Regions from separate parts of the Mus musculus genome. Here all the other regions are reported to be linked to region 3. Evidence: microRNA targets listed by miRTarBase, many of them from high-throughput screens and not tested one by one. Region 3 holds a microRNA gene; each other region holds the end of a gene's coding sequence.
What was found. Region 3 holds the annotated microRNA mmu-miR-124-3p (UAAGGCACGCGGUGAAUGCC, at 4,131-4,150, opposite strand). A microRNA usually pairs through its seed, bases 2 to 8, with sites in the 3' UTR of a target mRNA and lowers its output. Matches are read on the target gene's strand: a 7mer-m8 pairs with bases 2 to 8, a 7mer-A1 pairs with bases 2 to 7 and ends in A, and an 8mer does both.

Region 1 (7,487 bases), not on the chromosome of region 3:
TGAGGACCCCGCGGAGCGCCAGGCCTGAGCAGGGAGCCTGGTGCCACACCAGAGTGCCTTTGTTCTTCTCCCCTATGGATGATTTTCTGTGAGCTGGTTGTTATCCTGTCTTTGAACACGGTGACCTCTCGGGCCAGGGGATGTGTCACCTTTGTGTCACCCTTGTGTGTTTCACTTGTTTCACCCTCTGTTGTTTTCTCGTGGATCTGGAGTTGAGAAGGTTTCAATACCAAGTTCTGTGGCGTCGGCTCCTAATGAGTACCTTTCCTATGTGTAGGTCATGGTTTCACCATGCTGCGTAGGCTGTCCCCCACCTCCTGGGGACAAGCTGTCCTCCTGCCTCAGCCTCCTTAGTAGCTGGGATTCTATGTCTGCATCACCACACCCAGCAGAAGGTTTTTGTTTTTGTTTTTTCGGTTTTTCAAGACAGGGTTTCTCTGTGTAGCCCTGGCTGTCCTGGGACATACTTTGTAGACCAGGCTGGCCTCGAACTCAGAAATTCACCTGCCTCTGCCTCCCAAGTGCTGGGATTAAAGGCGTGCACCACCACAGCCCAGCTTGTTGTTTGTTTTTGAGACAGCATGTAACTGTGTGTAGACAGGAAGGACTTGAACTCACAGATATCTATGTACCTGCATCTACTTCCTGAATGGTGCATGGACCACCTTTAATGGCTACCACTAGGCTGTCTTTCTTTTCTTTCTCTTCTTTTTTGGGAGAAAGGGGGAGGCAGCAAGCTTAAGGCTAGTGAGGCATCAGGGAAAGCTCTAGAAAATAAGTTGCCCAAGGGTTAATTTTAATTTTTCAACAAACCTTAACAAAACCCAGTGAAGGGATAATAGAAAATCCCAATGAATTTTCCAGACCCTTTCCTTCCCGAGCACCTTACTGCACTCCCTAGTGGTGATGACAAACACCAGGGCTTTGATGGGTGAGCTATCTAACTGGGGTGTGGGGGAATGTTAGGGATAACAGCTGGACTCAGACGTGGGCAGTGATGTCTCTTTGTTCCCAGGTACACTACTAAAAACGCAACTGTTTACGCCACTTTCCTGTACTGGCCAGAAAATGGGATCGTGAACCTCAAATCCCCCAAAACGACCTCGGCCACAAAGGTAAGGAGACTCTGTCAGTCCCTCCTGCCACAGACCTGCCCGGGCCTTCACAGGACCCAGCACTGCACGAAGGCCAGAGACTGATGATCTCTGGTCTTGTCACTCTCACTCCCTCTACTTCCGTCCTCAGTATAAATACTGTCTCTAAAAGCTACCTCATACAACCAGCAGGCAGAACTATTAGAGAAGGGTAATTGATCACATGATTTTCTAAATACTTTTACATTCCAATAAGCTCATAGTAAGTTTACGGCAACAATTCAAGTCATAAATCGATAAGACTTGAGGTCTAACGGCGGAATTGTCTACATGTCCTCCCATGAAGGCTAGTGTCTCACTAAGCATTACCTGTCACTAGCCCCTAAGTTCATTAATGTCACGCGTTAGCACAGTTTTGTCAAGAGACAAATTATCTGCCTTGTGTCTTATTATTTTGAAGGTTTGGATAGATAAACTAGTCAGTAGTTGCTGTTCTCGCACCTAGAATAAATTCTCCGTGCCCAGTTTGTGACCTGTACTTACCAGATAATAGTGTCACAGTTACCAGATAATAGTGTCACAGCTAACCTGGAAGGAATGTTGTCCGCGATCGTAAATTTGTTCCACGCTTGCTTTTTTCTTCTAGTACAATTAGCCCATGACACATGAAGATTTACCGAGCTCTAAGTGCAGCTTTTATTCTATAGAGGACTTGAAATTACTTATATCAACTTAGAAATCCTGCAAAATCATTAGGAATTATGGAGTCATTAATTCGTCTGTCCAGCATTACTATGTGAAAGTACATCTTCATGTTGGCCTGCAGAAAGTCTGCCCAAATAGGGTGGGATAATGCCCAGGAGTCCTTAGGCTGTGTAATAGTGACAGGAAAGCGTATCAGCAGAGAGACCCAATCCCGGGATGAAGTCTCTAAGGACCCTGCCTGCTTGGAGCCCACCCGTTGCTGGCCGTGCAGAATGACAAGCTAGCTCCAGGAGACACTTGCCAGCCTTTCGCCTTTCCTACATGGCTCCCTGCACCCTCCTAAGGTTTAGCATGTTCTGGTTTTGTTTTTCATTTTTTTATTGCTGGGGATAGACCTCAGGGCCTAGGCATGCTCAGGCAAACATTCCACCACTGAACTACAGCCTCAGCTCTTGTTTTTTAAGCTGAGTTCTCTATGTAACTCAGGCTAATCTCAGCCTGTGGCTCTCCTGTGTTGTATTAAGTATTTAATCTCAATTGGGGGTTTCTACCCCACTTTTGATCATTCAGTTCCCAGATAAAAGACAGAAAACTTTCATATTTATAATAAGCCTTTAATGCACTAGAGCTGGGCAGATATCTACCCTCTATGCTATTTTGTCTACTTTTCCATCAATAACCCCCAAGGTATAACTTGCCATTTCCATCTGGTCAGCCCTCATGGCTATGTTGTTGGTTTTTTTTTAAATATTATTTATTTATTTTTATTTATACATGAATACTGTAGCTGTCTTCAGACACACACCAGATCCCATTACAGATGGTTGTGAGCCACCGTGTGGTTGCTGGGAATTGAACTCAGGACTTCTAGAAGAGCAGTCAGTGCTCTCAACTACTGAGCCATCTCTCCAGCCTCATGGCTATGTTTTTGTAACTCCTCTCTCCACCTATGGTCCCAAGCCTGGGTACCAAAATCCCACCTACCTCTCCTCTGCCCAGTTATAAGCTGTTGGCATCTCTAGTCAACCAATAGTTTTAAATTAAGGAACAAGGTCACATAGCATTACTTTATCTGTACAGATTCTCTCATCCCTGGAGGCAACCAGGCCTTGGGGGCCAGTATTTAGCATCACAGTACATAGCAAAAGACCAAACCTCCACATTCCTGTCTCCTCCCAGTGCTAAAATTACCCCATGCCTGGCTAATGGCAGGCTTTTGCTTCTTCCTTCCCAGGTTCCTTCCACACGAATGTCCCACCCACCTGTCTTTGCTGTTCTGTCCCAGCACAGCTTTTCCCCCACCATATCTGGAGCACAGTCTGCTCATCAGTGAATAACCGGGTGCTCTCCACTTTTGCCTTCTGCAGATAACAATGCTAGGACTAGAAGGAGACCTGAGCTGGACCCAGGATCCACTGGAGGGCGTCCTCATCTCTCTGCCACAGTTGCCACCTACCGTTCTGCCGGTGGAGTTTGCGTGGACTCTGAAGCTGACAAAGGTGAACTGATCAAAGGAGCTCAAGGACAGACTGCCTGGGGCGCTGCTTACCATCCCTGCAATAAAGTAGCTTCCCTTCCTTCCACCCAGTGGTCAATCTCCCAAGCCGTTCTAATGGATGGGCGAGCCATTGCTAGCATTTCTGGTGGGCAGAGAGACCTGGCCAGCTCAGCTGAGTCACCCATGCCTCCACTAGGGTGGAACTTCCCTCTCTTCTCTGATGACCTACCTGATAATGAGCCAAGTCATCCTCTTGCCTGTGGGAGCAGGTCAGAGAGGTCTGGCGAGCTCAACCCCCTCTGCCTTATTGGTTGGTACCAGTCCCGCAGAGATGGACCAGGTCCTGCCCTCCGGGCTTGCCAGGCTGTCATGCCAAGCAAGCCAAACGCTCTGCCACTGAGCACGTCTTCAGAGATATCCCGTCCCTCGGGATTCAGTTATTCGTGGGTGCCAGGGGGACCGCAGACCTGTAAGGATATGGGATTGGAAGAGAAAAGAGAAGCAGATGACCAAGTAGATTGTACCTATCAAGGTCTCCATTTATTATGCTGAGGTGCCTTGTTTTATAGCATACATTGCAGGGAATGGGGAGGGGTCGAGGGGGAATTTTAACAAAGAACAAAAAAGTGGGCATCTGCTCACATGAGGTCCGAAGTCAGGCTCCAGGCGGCGGGCACTCTGCATCTTATAGATCTATGCGGAACATAGATCCTCCTTGACAGCCTTGGGGTGTCAGGCCGGGCTCAGGCGTAACTCATGTCCTTGGATGGCTTGGGAGTCAGGAAGAGACAGGGAAGAGGGGACTATAATTTAGCTTTTACAGCCTCAGGTGCCAGGAAGGGAATAGGGAGGAGGGAGTGATAACCAGCTCCTAGCATGAGGCCATTTGGCCTGTCAGGGAGATTGTGAAGGGCTCGCTTTCTCACGGGATGGTCTCTGACACAGAGATACCAATGAAAGAAGGCGATGCTGCCTTGCCTTAAAAAAAAAAAAAAAAAAAAAAAAAAAAGATGGAAGTAAATTTGTATGCCAAATTATTTCTACCACAAGCATGTGATAGGTTTCTTTCCCTAACTTAGGTTACAGCTTTATACTCATTTTCTGGTTTCCTTGTTTGTTTGTTTTTTTTTTTTTTTAATTTAAAAAAAATTTTTTTTTATTTAGGGAGAAAAAAAAAAGTGGCCTGGAGATAGAGCTCACTTGGTACCATGCTTGCTTGGATACACAGAGCCCTTGGTTCAGTTCCTGGCACTGCATAAACCAAGTGTGGTATGCATGCCTGTGATCCAACAGGATCCGAAGCTAGTCCGGCCTGTCTATATAGTGAGCTCAAGGCTGCCCTAAGCTGTATAGACTGTCCAGAGGAAGGGAAGGAGGAGAGAGCTAGCTTGTTTGGTCTCTTTAATGCAGAACACTGTGTGTGGTCCCTGGGGCTTCTCTCTCATTCTGGTGTCTGTCTTTGACAACTACCAGCTCAACCTGTGCTTCACTGTGTACTCAGGAATTTATGTGCAGAGGGCATTGGATCCTCCAGAACTGGAGTCACGGACAGTTCTGAGCTGTCATGTGGGTGCTGGGAACTGAAATCAAAGAGCAGCCAGTCAGTGCTCTTAACCACTGAGCCATCTCTGGGTAGCCCTGGCCGGCCTTGAACTCAGAGACCCTCACCACCACTGACTGGCTTCCCTTGTTTTTAATTTAAAATATATGGTGGCTGTGTAATTTGGGTTTATTTTTGTTCTTGTTTTGATTTTTCGAGACAGGGTTTTTCTGTATAACAGCCCTAGCTATCCTGGAACTTGCCTTGGAGACCAGGCTGGCCTCAAGCTCAGAAATCCGCCTGCCTCTGCCTCCCAAGTGCTGAGATTAAAGGCATGCACCACCACTGCCTGGCCCACCACGAGATTTTAGCGTTACCTATGTGCTTGAGAAAACCAGGAAGGCTGGAGAGATGGCTCATCAGGGGTCAAGGCTTGCTCCTAGCACACACTCGACAACTCCAGTTACAGACACAGTGTCTGTCGCCCTCTTCTGGTTGCTTTGGGCTGCACACATGGAGCACAAATATAAATGCTGGCAAAACACCCATAAACAAAATCAAAATACGTCATTAAAAAATAGTATGCGCCAGGTGTGGTGGCGCATGCCTTTAATCCCAGCACTTGGGAGGCAGAGGCAGGTGGATTTCTGAGTTTGAGGCCAGTCTGGTCTACAAAGTGAGTTCCAGAACAACCAGGGCTACACAGACAAATCCTGTCTCAAAAAAACAAAAGGAAGCCGAGCGTGGTGGCGCATGCCTTTGATCCCAGCACTTGGGAGGCAGAGGCAGGCGGATTTCTGAGTTCGAGGCCAGCTTGGTCTACAAAGTGAGTTCCAAGACAGCCAGGGCTATACAGAGAAACCCTGTCTTGAAACAACAACAACAAAAACAAACAAACAAACAAACAAACAAACAAAAAACAAAAGGAGAAAATCAAACAAAACCCACTTACAGTCCCATGGCGTTTAGAATATTCACAGGTTATCCACGACAGTAGTTAGAACAATCTCACCATCCCTGTAAGAAACAATGGCTGTTGGAAGTTCTCTCCAGCACCCTCCTACCTCTAGTTCAGTGGTTCTCAGCCTTCCTGATGTTGCCGCTCTTCAACACAGTTCCTCATGCTGTGGTGACCCCCAACCATAAAATTATTTTCATCCCATAACTATTTCACTTCATAACTGTAATCTTGCTACTATTATGAATCATAATGTGTATATGGCTTTACTTGACCCCTGTGAAAGGGTCAGTCAACTGCCTCGGGGGTCGAGACCCACAGGTTGAGAACTGATGTTCCATGCACTCTGTGAGACCCACTGTGTAAGTGATCACTGTCACCCTCTGCATCCATGGTGTGTCCTGATCTAGGTCACATGTCACTGAGATCTCATGGTCTGAGCTCCTTGTGTTTGTCTTCTGTCACTCAGCAGGTTCGTTTACATTGTGACACGCCCCAGTTCCTTCATTCTCTTTATGGATAAGCAGTGTTCATGGACATTTGAGTTGCTTTCAGACATGTCTAATCCACAGTCTGGGAGCCACGTATGTCCCAAGGTTGTCACGAAGGTGGCCCAACAGGAACCATATGCGTAAGCATAAAAACATGGTATCAGTTCCTTTCTTGTCGCTCTGATAAAAACCACGACAAACATAACTTGAAGGAGAAACATACAGCATGAAGTCATTGTTCAAAAAAAGACAGTGGTCTCATTTAGGAACATAGCTGAGTCACAGAGCAACTGTTTAAAAGATTAGGGTGAGGGGGCTGGAGAGATGGCTCAGTGGGAGGTCCTGAGTTCAATTCCCAGCAACCTCATGGTGGCTCACAACCATCTGTAATGGGATCTGATGCCCTCTTTTGGTGTGTCTGAAAACAGCTACAGTGTAGTTTACATATAATAAATAAATAAATCTTTAAAAAAGAAAGCAAAAAGAGGAAGGAAGGAAGAAAGAAAGAAAGGAAAGAAAGGAAGGAAGGAAAGACAGACAGACAGACAGACAGCAAGCTGAGTGACCTGTTAGGAACAAATAAGCAGTCTTCCATGGCCTCTCTTGAGTTCCTACCTGGACAACCCGTCATGAGGCTACAACTGGAAGCTGGAACAAGCACTTTCTCCCTGAGATACCTAGTGGTGTCTTCACTTTTTATTTTGTTTTGTTGTTCTTAGGTTGGTTTAGGGGGTTTTAGTTTGGTTTTGGTTTTGGGGGGGTAGGGTTGTTTCGTTTTGGTTTTGGTTTGTTTGTTTTTTTAACTAAGAAAGGAAGGAAGATGGGAAGAGAGAGAATCACTATTTTTTTTAGTCGTCTTTTGAGGCGGGATCTCACTCTGTAGCTTAGGTCTTTGTGCAACTCACCGTGTAGCCCAGGCTAGCCTCAAACGCTTGCCGGATCTTCCTGCCTCAGCTTCAAAGTGATGTGGTTTAGAGGTTCAGGAGCAAGTCCATTTGCTCTGCTAATTAAAGAATTAAGACGCAGTGGAGATGAGTTGCCAGGAGTCTTTGGAGGTCCCAGTGGAGCCTCATATGATACTGGGAAAGTCAGGGTGCCCTCTTGGGGTTCTCAGTTTCATTAATAAAATTTAAGAACAAGCGCAAACAGAGTTGTAAGCACAAAGAACTAACTCAAACCAAAGCTGAGGGCAATGGATTAG
Region 2 (7,487 bases), not on the chromosome of region 3:
TGAACCATCTCACCAGCACCTCTGTGTGGGGTCTCCCTTGCCTCAAAGAGGTGGGTCCTTGATGAAATAAGCTTCTGCATAAGCATGGCTGCTTATGAGCACTCCTGACTGCAGAAAGTTTGTGTAAAGGTCTAGAGAGAGGAGCAGAGAGCTTAGGCAAGAGGACCTGTGGGGCCTGTAGCCTGTGGCCTATGGCCACTTGGCTTATAGGGGAGGGGGTTGTAGCAAAGAGTTGGGATCTGCTACAGGTCATCAGTTGCCCTGGATGCATGAGGACCATCAGGTGGAGAGCAAAGGGAGGCTCTTGCTGTGGCCCAGCCAAGACACACAGCTTGAGTAGCAGAGGAAATGGAGGCATGTGGATTTCTCAGCAGAATGACTGCTTGTGAGGCTGTGACAGAGGGCAGAGGCTTCCTAGGGGAGTCATTCAAGCTTGGGACCTTGCTACCAAAGAGAAGCAGACAAAGTGATGAGAGGAGAGGGGCCAAGAAGAGAATCTAACCTGAGAAGAGACCTAGTCTGGGTCGCTGACAGGGCTGGGGTATGTCCAGAAAGGAAGGAAGTCCAGGTGCCCGAATAGGGGCAAGGCAAGGATGACCAGTGACCTGGCCACATGTTAGAGGCTCACATCAGAATCCTCTGGACCTACTGGCTACCTGCTAGTCAAGATCCCATTTCTTTCCTGAAACTCACATCCAAACTCGATGCAAAGAGGTGGTTGAGGCAACTGTATGACTGGGCACAGTGTCCAACTTCCTAGCAGTCTGCTGTGGTTTCTTATGAACACCTGTGACAAGCAGTGTCAGCTGTGTATATACATGCCCCTGTGGTCAGCTGCACCATGCCAAGGAGGGTGGGGCAGGTTAAGTCTAATCTTATTTACCCTACAGGACTTGGCTTGGGCCATCAGCTACTATATGCGTTTCTTCTACACCTACATCCCTTTCTACGGCATCTTGGGAGCCCTGGTTTTCCTCAACTTTATCAGGTACCCCAACTTTGCTGGTTCACCCTGTGCTTTTGAGAGCACTGGCTTTGCCGGGGCTGTGATGTGAACCCTGAACCAGCCATGGGGGTAGGGTAGGTACAGTGGCTTTTTGTGGCTGCCTATCTCCCACCCTGAGGCTTCGGCACTGAGCTCTGCTGTCTTCTAGGTTCCTGGAGAGCCACTGGTTTGTGTGGGTCACACAGATGAACCACCTTGTCATGGAGATTGATCTTGATCACTACCGGGACTGGTTCAGCAGCCAGGTGAGGGGAGGCAGAGGTAGTCACGGGGGCCCTGGAAAGCTGTCCCATGTCCTTGCCTGCACCCTGCCTCTGTGGACCCAGGGCTATACAAACCTTCCCTAGGGCTACTTGGTGCCTGTTGGCAGCCTCAGAGCAAGAAAGGATGGTAGGAAGATTGGGGACGCAGCTCAGTTGGTGTGGCAGCCTCAGTTAAGCAAGAAAGGAGGGTAGAAGGTTGGGGACGCAGCTCAGTTGGTGTTTGCCTAGCATGCATAAAATCCTGGGTCTTATCTCTGGCACCCAATATACTCAATGTGGCGACCCATAATATAATCTTAGTACTTGGGAGGTGGAGACAGGAAGATCAGGAGTCCAAGGCCAGGATAAGTTAAAAACAACACAGAAGGAAATATGGAAGGAGTGATAAGAATCTACCAGAGGAAACTTGGGGAGTCTGGGAGGGTGAGGCTAGAATGGTATGACCTAGAGAGAGGCCCTAAAACCCTGGTTAAGGTGACCTTTATGGGGTAAGTCCAGGTCCTTTGGTTTTGTTCTTACACACCAGCCACTGATGCCCTGTCCCCTCTGCAGCTGGCAGCCACCTGCAATGTGGAGCAGTCCTTCTTCAATGACTGGTTCAGCGGGCACCTCAATTTCCAGATTGAGCACCAGTGAGTACAGCCCAGCAATGTTGGGGGTGTGGGGGGAAGAGGGGAGACAAGGAGCGGGAGGGCAGTGGCCACTAACCCACAGGCCAAGGGTGCCATGAGGTTTATCTTCTCTTCTTGGCAAAACCACCACCACCCCACCCTAGAGCACAGCTGGGCAGGAGAGGGGCTCTGGGATCAGCGTGCCCTGGAGGCATTGCTGTCCAGGCTCTGTGCCACATGGGCCATCCTGGGGACTGCACTCCTTCACGTGTGGCCTCTTTGCAGATATAGAAAGCTTACAAGACTATCCTGCAGACCTATAAGGGGCCTGGTTATTGGCTGGGAAACTGAGGACCAGCTAGATAGCATATCTGGTACACAGGGGCCCAAAGGGTCCCTGCTGCCTGCTGCCTCTTCCTGTATCTCTCATCTTTTCTTATTCTTCTCATCTTCCATCCGTTTCTTTCATTTCCTTTTTTTTTTTTTTTTGGCTTAGTGTTGAACTTACATAGGTCTTCTGCCTTGGCCTCCCACATGATGAGGCCAGGGGCGTGAGCCCTGATACCCTTTTTCTTTTTGTTTTTTAACATAAGACTCTTGTGTTTGGCTGTTCAATTCGGCTTTCTGCAGTGCCCCTGTTCATAAATTGCCCCTCTACACACCACCAGTAACATCTTCAGGCAGTTGGCAGGAGCCACAGTCTAGTCCTGGTTTAAGATAGGACCTCAGCCCTGCCTGCCTCCCTGGGTTGGAGAGGAGGTGGAGAACATGGGTCTTGGGTTGCACTCACTCTGCCCACCTGCTCCCCCAGCCTCTTCCCCACTATGCCACGTCACAACCTGCACAAGATTGCCCCACTGGTGAAGTCTCTCTGCGCCAAGCATGGCATTGAATACCAGGAGAAGCCGTTGCTGAGGGCCCTGATCGACATTGTGAGGTGAGGGGTGAGCTCCACAAGGGCTGAAGCTCTGGAGCACTGGAAGGGGCCAGAGATGAGGTGGGGCTGAGGAGGTGAGAGGCACATGGCTGGCCTTACTCACAGTAGGGACTCTAGCTCACAGTGGGGATTCCTGTCTACCCAGGGCTAGAAGAGGACCTCCCCTCTCTCCTTTCCCAGGGGTTTCTCTGGGGTGTATTAGTCAGTAGCCCACAGCTCCTGTGGTATCCTGTGGTAAGTGGTGAGCCCTAGTCAGTAGCTGAGAGGAAGCACCTGCCGCCCCAACATGACTTCCCACAAGTCTCACTGCCTGGAGGCCGAGGTTCCTTCCATCTGGTTCCTGAGCCCTGCCCCCCTCTCTCTATTTGCAGTTCACTGAAGAAGTCTGGGGAGCTGTGGCTGGATGCTTACCTCCATAAATGAAGCTGCCGTCCTCCGGGCACCCTCGGGAAAGGGGCACTGTTGGGTGACAGCCAGAGGGAGGGGAGGGCTTTTGTTCTGAAGGGTTCTCATGAGACTGAAGTGTCTGCTGCCTCACATTCCCCGGGCTTGCATCCTTTCTTGTTATTCCTCTTCCCTCACCCCTACCTACTCCATTCTCATGGAGTTCCCCCTTTGTCAGCCCTGACCCCATCCCCTCTGCCTCCCAGTCCCTTCTCCCAGAGAGCCGGAGAGGTGGTTGTCTCAGGTGGTTACGCGTCTGCCTTTAACTTCTGCACCTAAAGATTCCTGGTATGAGATTCTGCTCCTGGCAGCCTAGTCCCCACCCCCTTCTGTCCCACAGACACTCTGGGGGCCTGTGGAACAGGAGTCCAGGACTTGGCTCTACACTCCCTGTCAGCATTATGGTGTAGTCATTTGGGTGAAGACATGCTTCGTTCTGAGTGTCTTTCCCATGGCTGGGATTGGTACTTGAGGCTTCTTTCCAGCTGCCAAGGACCACCTTAGACTTTGAGGACCAAGGAAAAGTTCTCTCATGCCCACCATCACAACTCCAGACCATAGGGTTTGTACAGGTTCTATTTCATCATCTACCCAACTCCAGAAACCAAAGGGAGTGTTCCTTGTGCGGGCTCAGGAGAGGCAGTAGCCAGGTTGAAGGAGGGACTGACCAGCCTGGAACTTTAACCTCTCCCACTACAGTCAGGTGCTTCTGAGTTAAAAGGCCCAAGATTCTAGAAGGATCAGATCTTTTTCCAGATCCTCTGGCCAGTTCCAGATGCTTGGTCTAGAGAATGTGGACCTTGCAGGAGAGCCCCTGAGCAGCTCTCCCCAGGATAGAGCTGCCAATCTAGCCAGCACTTGGCTTCTTTTTGGCTCATCCCTGTCTTTACAGATGTTTGTTTGCTTGTTTGTTTTAGCTGTTGTGTTAACATTTCCTACAGAATTCTTCTTAATAGGAGAGTAGCAGAGGGCTGGCTGGGTCTTAGGACAATCCATCTTTACTAGATGTCCCTTGCCCTTCAGGTAGAGCTAGGCTTCGCCTTCAAGGCCACAGTATACGCTGTGGCTTGAGGTTGCTGCTATCAGAAAGGCAGGAAAAACAGGGTAGGGTGTGAGGTCTCAGGAGGGCTGTTGGGGGTACCCAGTGAGGCTCAAGCAGGAGTGTAGAGGGAAGAGGAGGCTGAGGGCATGAGGGAAATGTGAGGGCAGGTGGGAGGGGGGACGTCGGCTATAGCAGGAGGGGACCCACGCTATGTCATTCTGAGGTCTAACTGGACTAACCAACCAATATGTAAACTGGAGGAAAAGGCTGGGCCTGCACAGGGCAAGCCCTCTAGGACTCCATGAGCCAAGAGAGACCAGTTGGTATTGTTCCACAGAGGCAGAGAACCCATAGGAGATGGCAGTCATTTGTATCATCTTGTTCCCCGCCTCTACTTTTTTGGGAAATAAAAAAAAAAAAGTAATTTTATTCTCACTTGCCTGTAGTTCAGCAAGATCAATGGATGGCTAGTGTTCCTGTATGCTGATGTCACAGGTGTGGTAATGCAGGGTCTGGGAGGAAGGGCGGTGCTGCCCCACAAGAGCAGGGCCTGACTGTTAAGGCGAGTGGTGAACAGAACCCTCCCTGGTCCTCTCTCTAAGAGGACGGTGACGGGTCTGGAGACTGAGGCTTTTATTTTGTGTTGCTGTGCCCATGTGGAGTCTCTACAGCCTAGGGAAGGTCTATATCGTTCCAGCCCTGGTTACAGTTCCTACGCCCTGGTCTGACCTCCAGCCTGGGAAGCCAGAGTCATCTGCACCTGAGGTACCTGCCCAATTCACCTTGCAATTGGACCCATGCTGCATCCATCTCGGAACAGGCTCAAAGGGCCATGTCACTCCAGAGGTGTCAGAAGAGCCATCAGGCATGGGGTGGCCAATACTCCCGAGGTTTCTGTTGGCCTTGTAGCTGCTCCCAGCAAGGTTGGGGAGTGCTCCAGCAAAGATCTCATCTCCATAGGTGACCAGAACCTATCCATATAAGTATGGAGGGATAGTAGGAAGTCTGTGGGGGGTGATTCCCAGTGACCACACTGTAACTAGTACAAGGCTTGGGATGGCAGACATTGTCACTGATCCTCTGAGTGGCCCTGCGTGAGTCTTCCTCCACCTCATCTCCAGGGTACTCACTGCCACAGTTTCCTCCTTGAGGAAAAGAAATCATGGGATAGAATGCCTCCAAGGCTGATTTCTGTCAGTCTCCAAGAGCCTTGGCTTCACCTGACTGATAAGCCCCCTGGAGACTTTGGTGATGGCAGACTTGTTTGAACACACCTTCAGAACTTACCTATGTTTGTCTTCCACTTGCTGCTTGGGCAGGACCTGGCCCCCCAATACCCAGAATGCCTCAGGCCAAACCCTGCCAACTGTGAATGTGGGGTCTATGGCAGCTGACACCCAGAGATCTGGGGAGTGGGAGGGTGACTGAAGGGAACCCGGCAGGGATAGGTGTCTCAGATGTGAAGGTAAATTTAGGCTCACATCCATGAGCTTGTGTTTTCTCATATACACTCCTAGCTTCTGCCTTGAGCGCTACCTAAGGTCCAGAGCAGAAGACATACATCCCTGCTCTCTACATGAATAGCTCCTCTCTTGTTACAGTGCTCAACTGAGGCTATTGGCCAATATCCCCAAAGTTGTGGGGTGGGTTCTGTCCCCTAACAAGTCATGGACTTCTCTAATATTTAAAAGCCCAGCCTAATGAAACCCTAACATCTCACAGGCCAAGAAGCTGACACCAGAGAGGGGAAGATACTCACCCTGAGGCAGCACAGTGTCAGCAGAAGAATCAGAGCATACATGGGGAATACCAGTTGGCTGGGCCATCTCTTCCCCTTTACCCCATCATACCAAATGTCATATTGTACGGGAGGCTGGCCCCAGGGGTAGAGGCAGGCAGTGGGGCAGTTAGTTCAGGTGAAAGAGATGATCAGGAATGAGGTGCTATTGAAAACAAAACCCCTACTATCTTTGAGGTAGTATGAGCTTATGCCAGACAGCAGACTCAGAGGCTTCTCTGGGGCTGTTGGAGCAGCCTGAACATCTGTGCGTGTCTATCTGTGTGTATAACTGGAAGCCCAGAGGTTTCTGTACGTGTCTGTCTGTGTGTATAGCTGGAGGAGCCCTCGGGGCCACTGGGAGGGAGGAGAAGGCCTCAGGCAAGAAGGTCATGGAACAGAAGGAGATTACAGCCACTTGGGAAACCATACCTTGGGCCTCTTGCGGCTCAGCTGGCTTGGAAAGTACTGTTCAGAGGACAGCTGCTGCTGTGAGATAGATCACACAGCAGTGGGTCCCAGCAGGTCATCTGGTGACCTGCGAATGGGCTGGAGGAAAAGACTTGCTGTACGATCTGGACACTGGTGTTCTTTTGACTGACAGGACTGCGCATTTCTAGGCAGACTGGGTTCACAGATAAATGAAACATAAAATTGCCCAGTGTCTCAGGACTTCACAGTGGCTCCACTGCCTCCTGCCAGAATCAAGCCTTTTTCTTTTTTTCTTTCTTTTTTTTGGGGGTGGGGGGGTGGGGGTGGGGTGGGGACTTGGAAGGCACTTAATTGGGTTTTGCTTCAAACCATTTGGTTCAAGAGCTAATAATGCCTAAAGGGAGCTAGTAACAGGAAACAGGGCTTGGAAAGTACTGGTGTCTTTAAGAACACAGTATGTTTTAAGGACAAAGTATGTTTACACATCGTTCTTTCGCAAGGCCTTTATCTCCCCACCGCCAGCCGCACCCACAAAGGCAGAGGCTGGTTCGTGGGAGCTGGCCACTGGAGTCTCTTAGCTATTGGTTGACCGAAAGGACAAACAAGCCGTGACTTCCCTCTGGAACCTTTCTTTCTGGATTCAGGACTGTTGGACAGAAAATAGAAAGGGAGACAGTGGGGTCTTTCAAAGGTACTACCATGGCCTTTTCCTGTCCTCTTGATAAGTGTGGTCTGTGATCTCTACAGGAAGACGGACTCAGGTGAGTGGAGGTGACCCACTGCCAGGAGCTATAGCATAGATGACAGGGGAAGGTGGGACAAAAATGACCTATCAGTAATGGGCTCTGGGTAGAAGGAAGAGACCTAAAGGCAGGGGTCTCTGCAGGGTATTTTATTGGATAACTCTGGATTTGGAGGGAAAGAGCACATTCCCCATGGCTACCACTAGGGGCAGCATGAAACACAGTCCAAGCT
Region 3 (7,487 bases):
ACAGTTATTATTAGGAATCATAACAGTATTCTTTTCTTCATTTAATTTCTTAAGAATTGCTAATGCTTGCTGTGCAAAACCAGGGTTCAGAAGACAAACATACTGATCTTATATGGAACTTGACAAGCTTGGTTAAATATTTAAGTTGATTTAACATGTAATCAAGAGTTAGCCCCCCCTCACACACACAAAACAAATTATAAAATCATATTTTTTAATTTTAACTTAATATTTTTATAAGCTTTATTTTAAAATCTAGTAAAAAATTAAACACCTCTTTCATTGTGCCATCACAAAATAAACTGATCTTTATTTTAGAAAATTTAACAGCTACATCATTAGAAGCATTTTATTATACCAGCACTGATGTAGTGAGTCACAGTGTTCATAGCAAAGATGTGTCTGCTTCACAACATGCTGGAACTTCTAAATTCACGGCGCTGAGGTGATGCAGCATTCTACATTATTTTACTCCATATAAGCCTAATGAAACATAAAATCAAAAACGTTTTAACTTTTCAACATGCCTATTTTTCATTTCATATAGATTTTTCCGTACATAAACTCCATAAATAACACTTAGAGTACAGCACACACTGCTTCCGTCTCTGCATCCCTGATGGTTCTATTTATAACCGTCTACTTCCTGGTAGCTTTACCATTTGAGTACTTACTAGGAAGATTTCAGAGGTGAAATTTTGGATAAATTAATATGACTCAAAAATTTCAGCTTCTTCCTCAAACATAAATCATTTTCTTATTCAAAGTCTATCTTTGAAAATTGGCGTTAATAGTAATACAAAATCAGCATAATCATTCTTTATGTAAGGCATTACTTTTGGTTCAGTGCCCTTCAAAAATAAGTAAACACCTTGAGCTTGGCATCTTTATTCTAATTCAGATATTTCCTATCATAAGACTTCAGTTATGTGCAAAACTCAAGAAACTTATTTCTTTTTCAGCTGCCTATTAGAAAGGCTTTGCCCTCAGATTTACAATTCCATATTTTTTTATAAAATTAAAAAAAAAAAAGACACAGAAATACAACCAATAGAATCGACAATCTGCTTTAAACAATGACCTCTCGCTTCAGAATGTAACCATCCCAGGAGTGGTCCTGATGAAAATCGGGTAGCCTTTTCGGACGAAGAATAAGATGGAAGCTTTTAAATTCTACAGATTAAATGATCCTAAGAGCTTACTGCTTCCTGGGCTTATTGAAACTCTTGACCATCTGGCTTCGGAAACCAGTGTTCTATTTGTTGGGAGCAGCAGAGGGCGCTCTGGCGTTGTTGACACCAGATGCCTCGGTTCCCTGCGCTAGCATCTTACTCCCTGGAAGAAACACACTATTCCCAAGGAGGGTTGTCCCTGAGAGTCTCAACCGGTCAAGCTGTTCCTAAATTATCCCGAGAAGCTCTAATTTCAGACCACTAGATGAAAGTTGTGATTGCTAAAGGACTCGCATGGTCCTCTGCACCAAAGCTCTCTAATTGTCCACCTGGGTTGTTTTGCTGGAAAACTGCTGAGCACAGAATTTCATAGCAGGAAAATTTTGTAATGGACATTAAGTTGGGTGATTACTTATAAAAAATGAAAATAATTAATTTTAAAAGTACACAAACACCATGAATCAATAACCACACTGGATTTAATCATAGCAACCAGATGACTAAGTCCTGTACTTGCTCCCTTACTTTTTAAATTCTTTCATATTACATGTTTCATTTTTATTTAGAAAATATATTTTTTAACTGATTAAGATTTCTGAAGCGAGAGTATAGGACTGCTGTAAACAAGTAGGATTAGGTCGGGGAGTATTATTGTGTTTTTATTATGTAATATGAATTACACTGATGTAGCAGGACTGTTAGACCCTTTTTGCTTTGTGAGGAGCTCAGGGGATTGTGAGGAGAGACCACCAGAATAACTAGGTCGTTGCTGGAAGGAGGAGCATCCATGACAACCTTCAGCACTTCAAACCCATTCCCATTTCTGGTGAGTTTTTTTTTTTTTTTTTTTTTTTTTTTTTTTCAGCGACACAAGAGGGGGTTTCTTTGTGTTTGAGGTAGCTCTTGTCCCAACAAAGTGTGATATCGCCATCTCACCCCCCCCCCCAGATTGTGTAAAATCAAATGCAAACCTAAAATTTGTGGATATAAAGATCCTAATTTACAGAGTTTTAAAATCAGAAAACAAAACTAAAAGCCACCTTTTTAGGATGGAGTGAATAGGAACTAGACCCCCAAGAATATCATTTCTGAGCTCATTTTTTCCTGAATCATTGGCTACATTTCAACCATTCAGGTGGAAGAGAAGAAATAGTATAAAAACATATTTTTTAGGCCATTGTTCATTTATGGACCATTTCTATGCCCAGGTAAAAATCACTGTCACTGTGTCTCTTTACAGCTTTGTTTAGTTTATCTATGACTGATGTTTGACAGTATTTATGATGTGAATCTACAAAGAAATTCAAGCATGGAACATTTTCTTTCCTGGACCCACGGCTGAATACAAACCAATCTATTGTCTATTACTTTTTCCATTGCACATATGACTCAATATAGAAATTAATATTTTACTATTTATATACAATACTCTCAATATTTAAATTAGAATGCTGATAATTTTAAATATATGTTGAATGCATTAATTCAGACACATTTGACCCAGGACTCCTAAGACAAATCTTCATTATATGGGATTTGGTAAGCTACTCTGCCTCCCTAGTGAGCTGTGCTCTGCAGTATGGTTTTCTCTGCACTGTGGGATTCAGGCCTCCTAGGACTGCAGTACCTCCTGTGAGGAGCGAGGCTCACTGCCAGCTCCTGGGCACCATCACCCTGCCACTCTGTGGGCCTTGGCCTCAGAACTCAGTAAGGAAAGCTGTCCCACAGAAAGCCTTGCTGAGAGCCACGAGAGTGGTTGCAGGCTTCTCTACTCCTGCCTGCTCTGGTCACTAAATCAACCTCAGTCAGAACCTTTTAAATATATTTTGAGGCACACTCTAGGGTCCTTTGAGAGGTATCTTTGGTGACCATATCTGAGATAAGATCCTCAACTGAAAACCGTGTGTTTCTCTTTTCAAGATTGTGATTTAAGAGGAAAAAAAATCTATTTAATCTCTCTCTAGCACATTTTGTTAACTACTCGGGTTTCTGGCCAAATCAGCTGATTGTCAGAGTGGATGGTTTCAGCAAAATACTGTTTAGCCTGTCTTTCCGTATTTCAAGGTTTTTATTTGTAAGTTAACTAATATCCTGGGGTATGGGGCTGGGTTAGAGAAGAAGCGATTCTATAATTCTATTGCCTTGTTTGCAGAATTACCACAAGAGGAGGGGGAGGAGGTAATGGAGGAGGAAAAGAAAGAGGAAGAGGAAGATGATCCTGTCAGCAAGGCGAGGGTGCGGCCACTTTGGGTTATCCTTCTCCAGCCTCTCCTTTGTTCCCAGGCCAGATAGGCCACCACAGAACAAAGACTTCCACCAAGGCTCTTTCTCAGCGGTGGTTTTCTTAGGCTTTCGGGTTATGGAACCTACCTTAACTAAGTACCTCATGGTCTTCCAAATACATTAATTTACCAAGTCTTAGAGTTCCTGGCTTGGCCTTTCCCTCTTATTGGACAATATTGACTGATTTGGGTATTGTCACTTTGCCTTGGCCTTTTAAATCCAGTCAAGGCTACCATGAGACTGGGTAAAGAATGGGAGAATAGTGAAAAGCTTGGGGCGGGGGTCCTATTTTCACTGATAATTGAGTCATTTGAGGTTTCTTATGCAGTGTGGTCTGGGGTTTCTCATCCGTTTTGTTTTCCCAGTTCGACCCAGAATTTTATTTGGAAAAGGCCAGCACTCTCTGAGTGCCATCTCTTAGACCGTTTGCACCAATGGGAACTACAGCTCTCCTGACAGCTGTCAATGAAACCTCTAATATTCCCCTTGGGAGTATGCATGCGGATTTCCCAGATTCTCGCTGAAAAACATTTGACTGTCTTGTATTCTAAAGATTTTGAATCAATGCGAGGGGTCCTTGTGTCGCACAGGATGGGTTCATTCTAGAATTGTTTCTCCCCACCCTTCCTAACTTCTCTCGGATGTCCTTCAAGTGCAGCCGTAGGCTCCGCTCTTGGCATTCACCGCGTGCCTTAATTGTATGACATTAAATCAAGGTCCGCTGTGAACACGGAGAGCAGAGTCTCTGATCTTGATCTAGAAGCAAGTGACTCATTGCAACTATTACTATAATTTTCTCCCTGCCCTTCACCCTCTCTTGGAGCTCTAGGCTTGGAGTCCCTACTCCTAGAGTTGTAGCTCTGAGCAGTACTCCCACCTCAGCTTTCCTCCCGCCACATCTGTCAGAGTTGCCATTAATTAGTCTGCAAGGTTGAAGAGTAGCGGGTGCATGAGTCTGCGATTCTTATGCATACATCTGCATGCCATTTACAGCGCACCTAAAACCCATACATATGTCTATAAATCTAGTTTTCAAATGATGACATGGATCGAAGTTAATTACCCCTCTGGTACAGATCTAATTTCGTAATCGTGTTATTTTACTGAAGGCAATTAACTGAGTTGGTTCGCCCTGAATGCCGTCCTAAGACATTTGTAAGGAAAGGCAAGTCTTTAAGGACCACACCATGAGTGTTCTGCTGCAGAAACCTTTGTCACTCATCCCCTGTTGCCAGAGATCTAGCAGAAAAAGCGAATATAATCATGCATGTTTGTATGTCCGACAAACACACGTATACGCCTTTGATAGCCCGATTTTGGTTGGGAAATTTTGGGAAAAGATCAGAATCCCAGGCCGGCTGGGTCCTCCTTCTTTGTATTGCGGAAAAATTAACTCAACAGCACCTGCCGAGTCCCGGGAGAGCTGGGGCCCATCTGGTCTGGCTATGATTTTACTGCGAAGAGAAAAGGCTGCTTGCTCGGGCTTCCTCCGGCTCTGGAGAGCAGAGATCGGGTCTGAGCCCGCTCTGGGCGTAGATTTAAGGGCAGCGCAGCAGATGCGCTCTCTCTGACTGCGGCGGGAGTCAGGAGGAGATCCGAGTCTGGGCTCGGCGGAGGGAGGGCAAGATGGAAAGAAGAAGAATGAGGGGAGTTGACCTCTACGGGCGGAGCCCTCTGGACGGCAGGCCGGAGGCGGCAAGCAGCGGCTCTTTTCACAGCATCCCTTGCGGCTGGGTGGGCCAGGGGGATGGACGGACTGCGCTCGCCTGAAGAAAGCCAAAGGGCTCAAAAGCAGGTTTTGTGCGGAGACCCCAGAGCGCTCCCCCTGAAAAACAGAATCAAAGCGCAGAATTAGAGCAGGAGGGAGGAGGGGGAGACTGGAGAGGAGGGACAGGAGGAGGGAGGAATCACTCTAGGGAGCCAAGGTGACCGGCCGTCCGGACCTATAGAATCGAGCTCGGGGAGCCCCTGCAATGTGCGGGGCGACAGGGGAGTTCCCAACTCAATCCCGGCTTCGGAAGGTGAGAAGATGCAGTCAGGACGAGAGAAATGTTTTCCTGAGATGGAGTCTTGAAAGCGAGTCCTCAGATTGTCCTCTGTGCAGTCTCAGCGATTTGCGCATCCCGCGCGCCCTTACCCATCTAACCCCTCCCTCAGACCACACGCCAGAACCGCATTCTCCAATCTCCACCCCTTCTTGGTTTAGAATCCTGCAAACTGCAAGACTGAAGAGTTCTCGCATGAAAATCGAAATGATCGATGAAATAAAGAATTTCATATAGGCATAGCCCTAGAAATCCAAAGGCGAAAGAGCTGCTAGCTCTGCTCAAACCTGCAGAGGACCAAAGCGTTTTCAGGGGCTGCTCCGCGTGTTCTCGGAGGAAAGAGGAGGCTGAGTGGTTTCCGCGATATAAGGTGCTTTAGGATGGGCGGTGGGGGCAGGGAGGGGGTGGATCGTAGCGGTCCGGTCTTTCCCCCTCGCTTGCTGATCCAGAATTAGGGATTAATGGCTCGCTCCAGCCAAACAAATAAGGCATCTGCCTTCAGCACAAGAGGATTACACGGGCTGCTGACGTCACCAGTCAGACAGATGTTGGCTCCCAAAGTCCTGAACAGCTCGCTGTGTCCTTGAAACCAAAGAGCTGCAGAAGGCGCGCAGCCCCCAAGAGCTGCGCCTGGGCAAAGCAAAGGGCACCCTCCTTGCCCTTGCTTACACTCTCCTGCACGCACCACACTGGCCCCAATACAACTACCTAAGACAGAGCTCCTCAGTCTCTCTTGCCTTCTGCACAGCCCCCAGTCAAGGTCCAGGCTGGCTCAACACAAGTCAAAGTCACCACACTTGGCTTCTGTCTCCTAAAATAGAGACAGTACTACTTTCTCAATCCTCATCTAAAATCTGGCACGCACAGCCAACACCTCACCATGGACAGAGCTAAGCTCCAGATGAGCGACCACCTCTTCATTTTATGGTTAAGGCATATCTGCATCTTTCGTCCCCACCATTGTCCTTTCCCCAGGCCAAGGTCTAAATTTTTTATGCTTATTCTTATGAATGAAGACAGGCTGGAGCACCTTCCTAAACAATGACTCCCAAACTGTCTCTGCTTTCTACCAGAGCCCTGGGCCACCATTACAAGAACCACAAGAGCCCATTATGAAATGATCAGAATACCACCAAATTCCATTTAATATCCTTCTCAAATGCTTTTTAAATATTTAAATTTTTAAAATGCGGGTGTCAAAAACATATCTATCATCTATGCTAAGAAACAAGGACATTCAAAGAATTGCAGTTTCATTCTCTGGACAAGCACGATGGCTAAAGATCCGGAATTCATTGCCTTACAAATCTCAACGTCACTTGAATTTTATTTCAAATTTAAATGTAAATTGTTTTTTTTTAATTTTTCTAACCTGTGTGTTGTTAATGATTTATACGATCTTCCAGGCCTTTACAGGTCACAAAGAAGACTGGTTACAAAATAAGTCAGAAGTCACAGGGTTGAAAGTGAAAATTTAAGGGAGCAGTTATATAATCCACAAGAGAAATAATTGTGATGAATTTCACTTCTGAAAAGGTTAAGGTAATGAAACTCATGCAAAAAGCAATATAGTTATTTGACACAGAGCCACAGTGAACCAAACCTGTGCCCTAACCTGGATCAATATGTATGTGAAAGTCTGTTGTTTTCCTGGGGGTTAGGGTGAGTGTCCGTCTAACCAGTCACTGCACAGTTAGTTATGCACTATAGTGTCTGTCCAGAAATAAATGGGGGTATGGGAGTCATATCTCTATTCATATTATCCCTGTCTATCAAAGTGGCATTTAATTTTTCCAATTCTATGCATTTAGAAACCTAGTCACTGATAAAAATCTATTTAATTTGCTCTAGTGTCATTCAGCTAATCCCAGACAAAATATAAAATTTCTCTTTCTTTATTCAGCTGTATGTCCTATAACAAACATCCCATACCAAAATGAATGTATTTAAAACTGTAATTTACTAGTGACATAAGGTAGAAATGACC

Region 1: miRTarBase lists Fuca1 as a target of mmu-miR-124-3p. Seed matches in the 3' UTR shown: 7mer-A1 at 3,598-3,604, 7mer-m8 at 3,851-3,857 and 7mer-A1 at 4,273-4,279.
Region 2: miRTarBase lists Fads2 as a target of mmu-miR-124-3p. The part of its 3' UTR that is shown has no 7-base or 8-base seed match.

What each region holds. Positions count from the first base shown.
Region 1 is chr4:135,935,908-135,943,394 of GRCm38, forward strand. It overlaps Fuca1 (fucosidase, alpha-L- 1, tissue), which reads left to right. Exons shown (of 8, transcript NM_024243.4): 7 at 1,016-1,115; 8 at 3,167-4,393. The coding sequence ends at 3,307. Among named protein-coding and RNA genes, the nearest start is that of Hmgcl, 6.8 kb to the right of the region's middle.
Region 2 is chr19:10,060,016-10,067,502 of GRCm38, reverse strand. Fads2 (fatty acid desaturase 2) reads left to right here. Exons shown (of 12, transcript NM_019699.2): 8 at 891-988; 9 at 1,155-1,251; 10 at 1,822-1,901; 11 at 2,692-2,817; 12 at 3,189-4,738. The coding sequence ends at 3,240. It also overlaps a transcript of Fads3 not described here. Among named protein-coding and RNA genes, the nearest start is that of Gm29917, 16 kb to the right of the region's middle.
Region 3 is chr3:17,792,386-17,799,872 of GRCm38, reverse strand. It overlaps Mir124a-2 (microRNA 124a-2), which reads right to left and starts at 4,211; the gene lies at 4,103-4,211. Mir124-2hg (Mir124-2 host gene (non-protein coding)) reads right to left here. Exons shown (of 3, transcript NR_033490.1): 2 at 4,860-5,280; 3 at 1-483. It overlaps Gm51272 (predicted gene, 51272), which reads left to right and starts at 4,132; the gene lies at 4,132-4,188.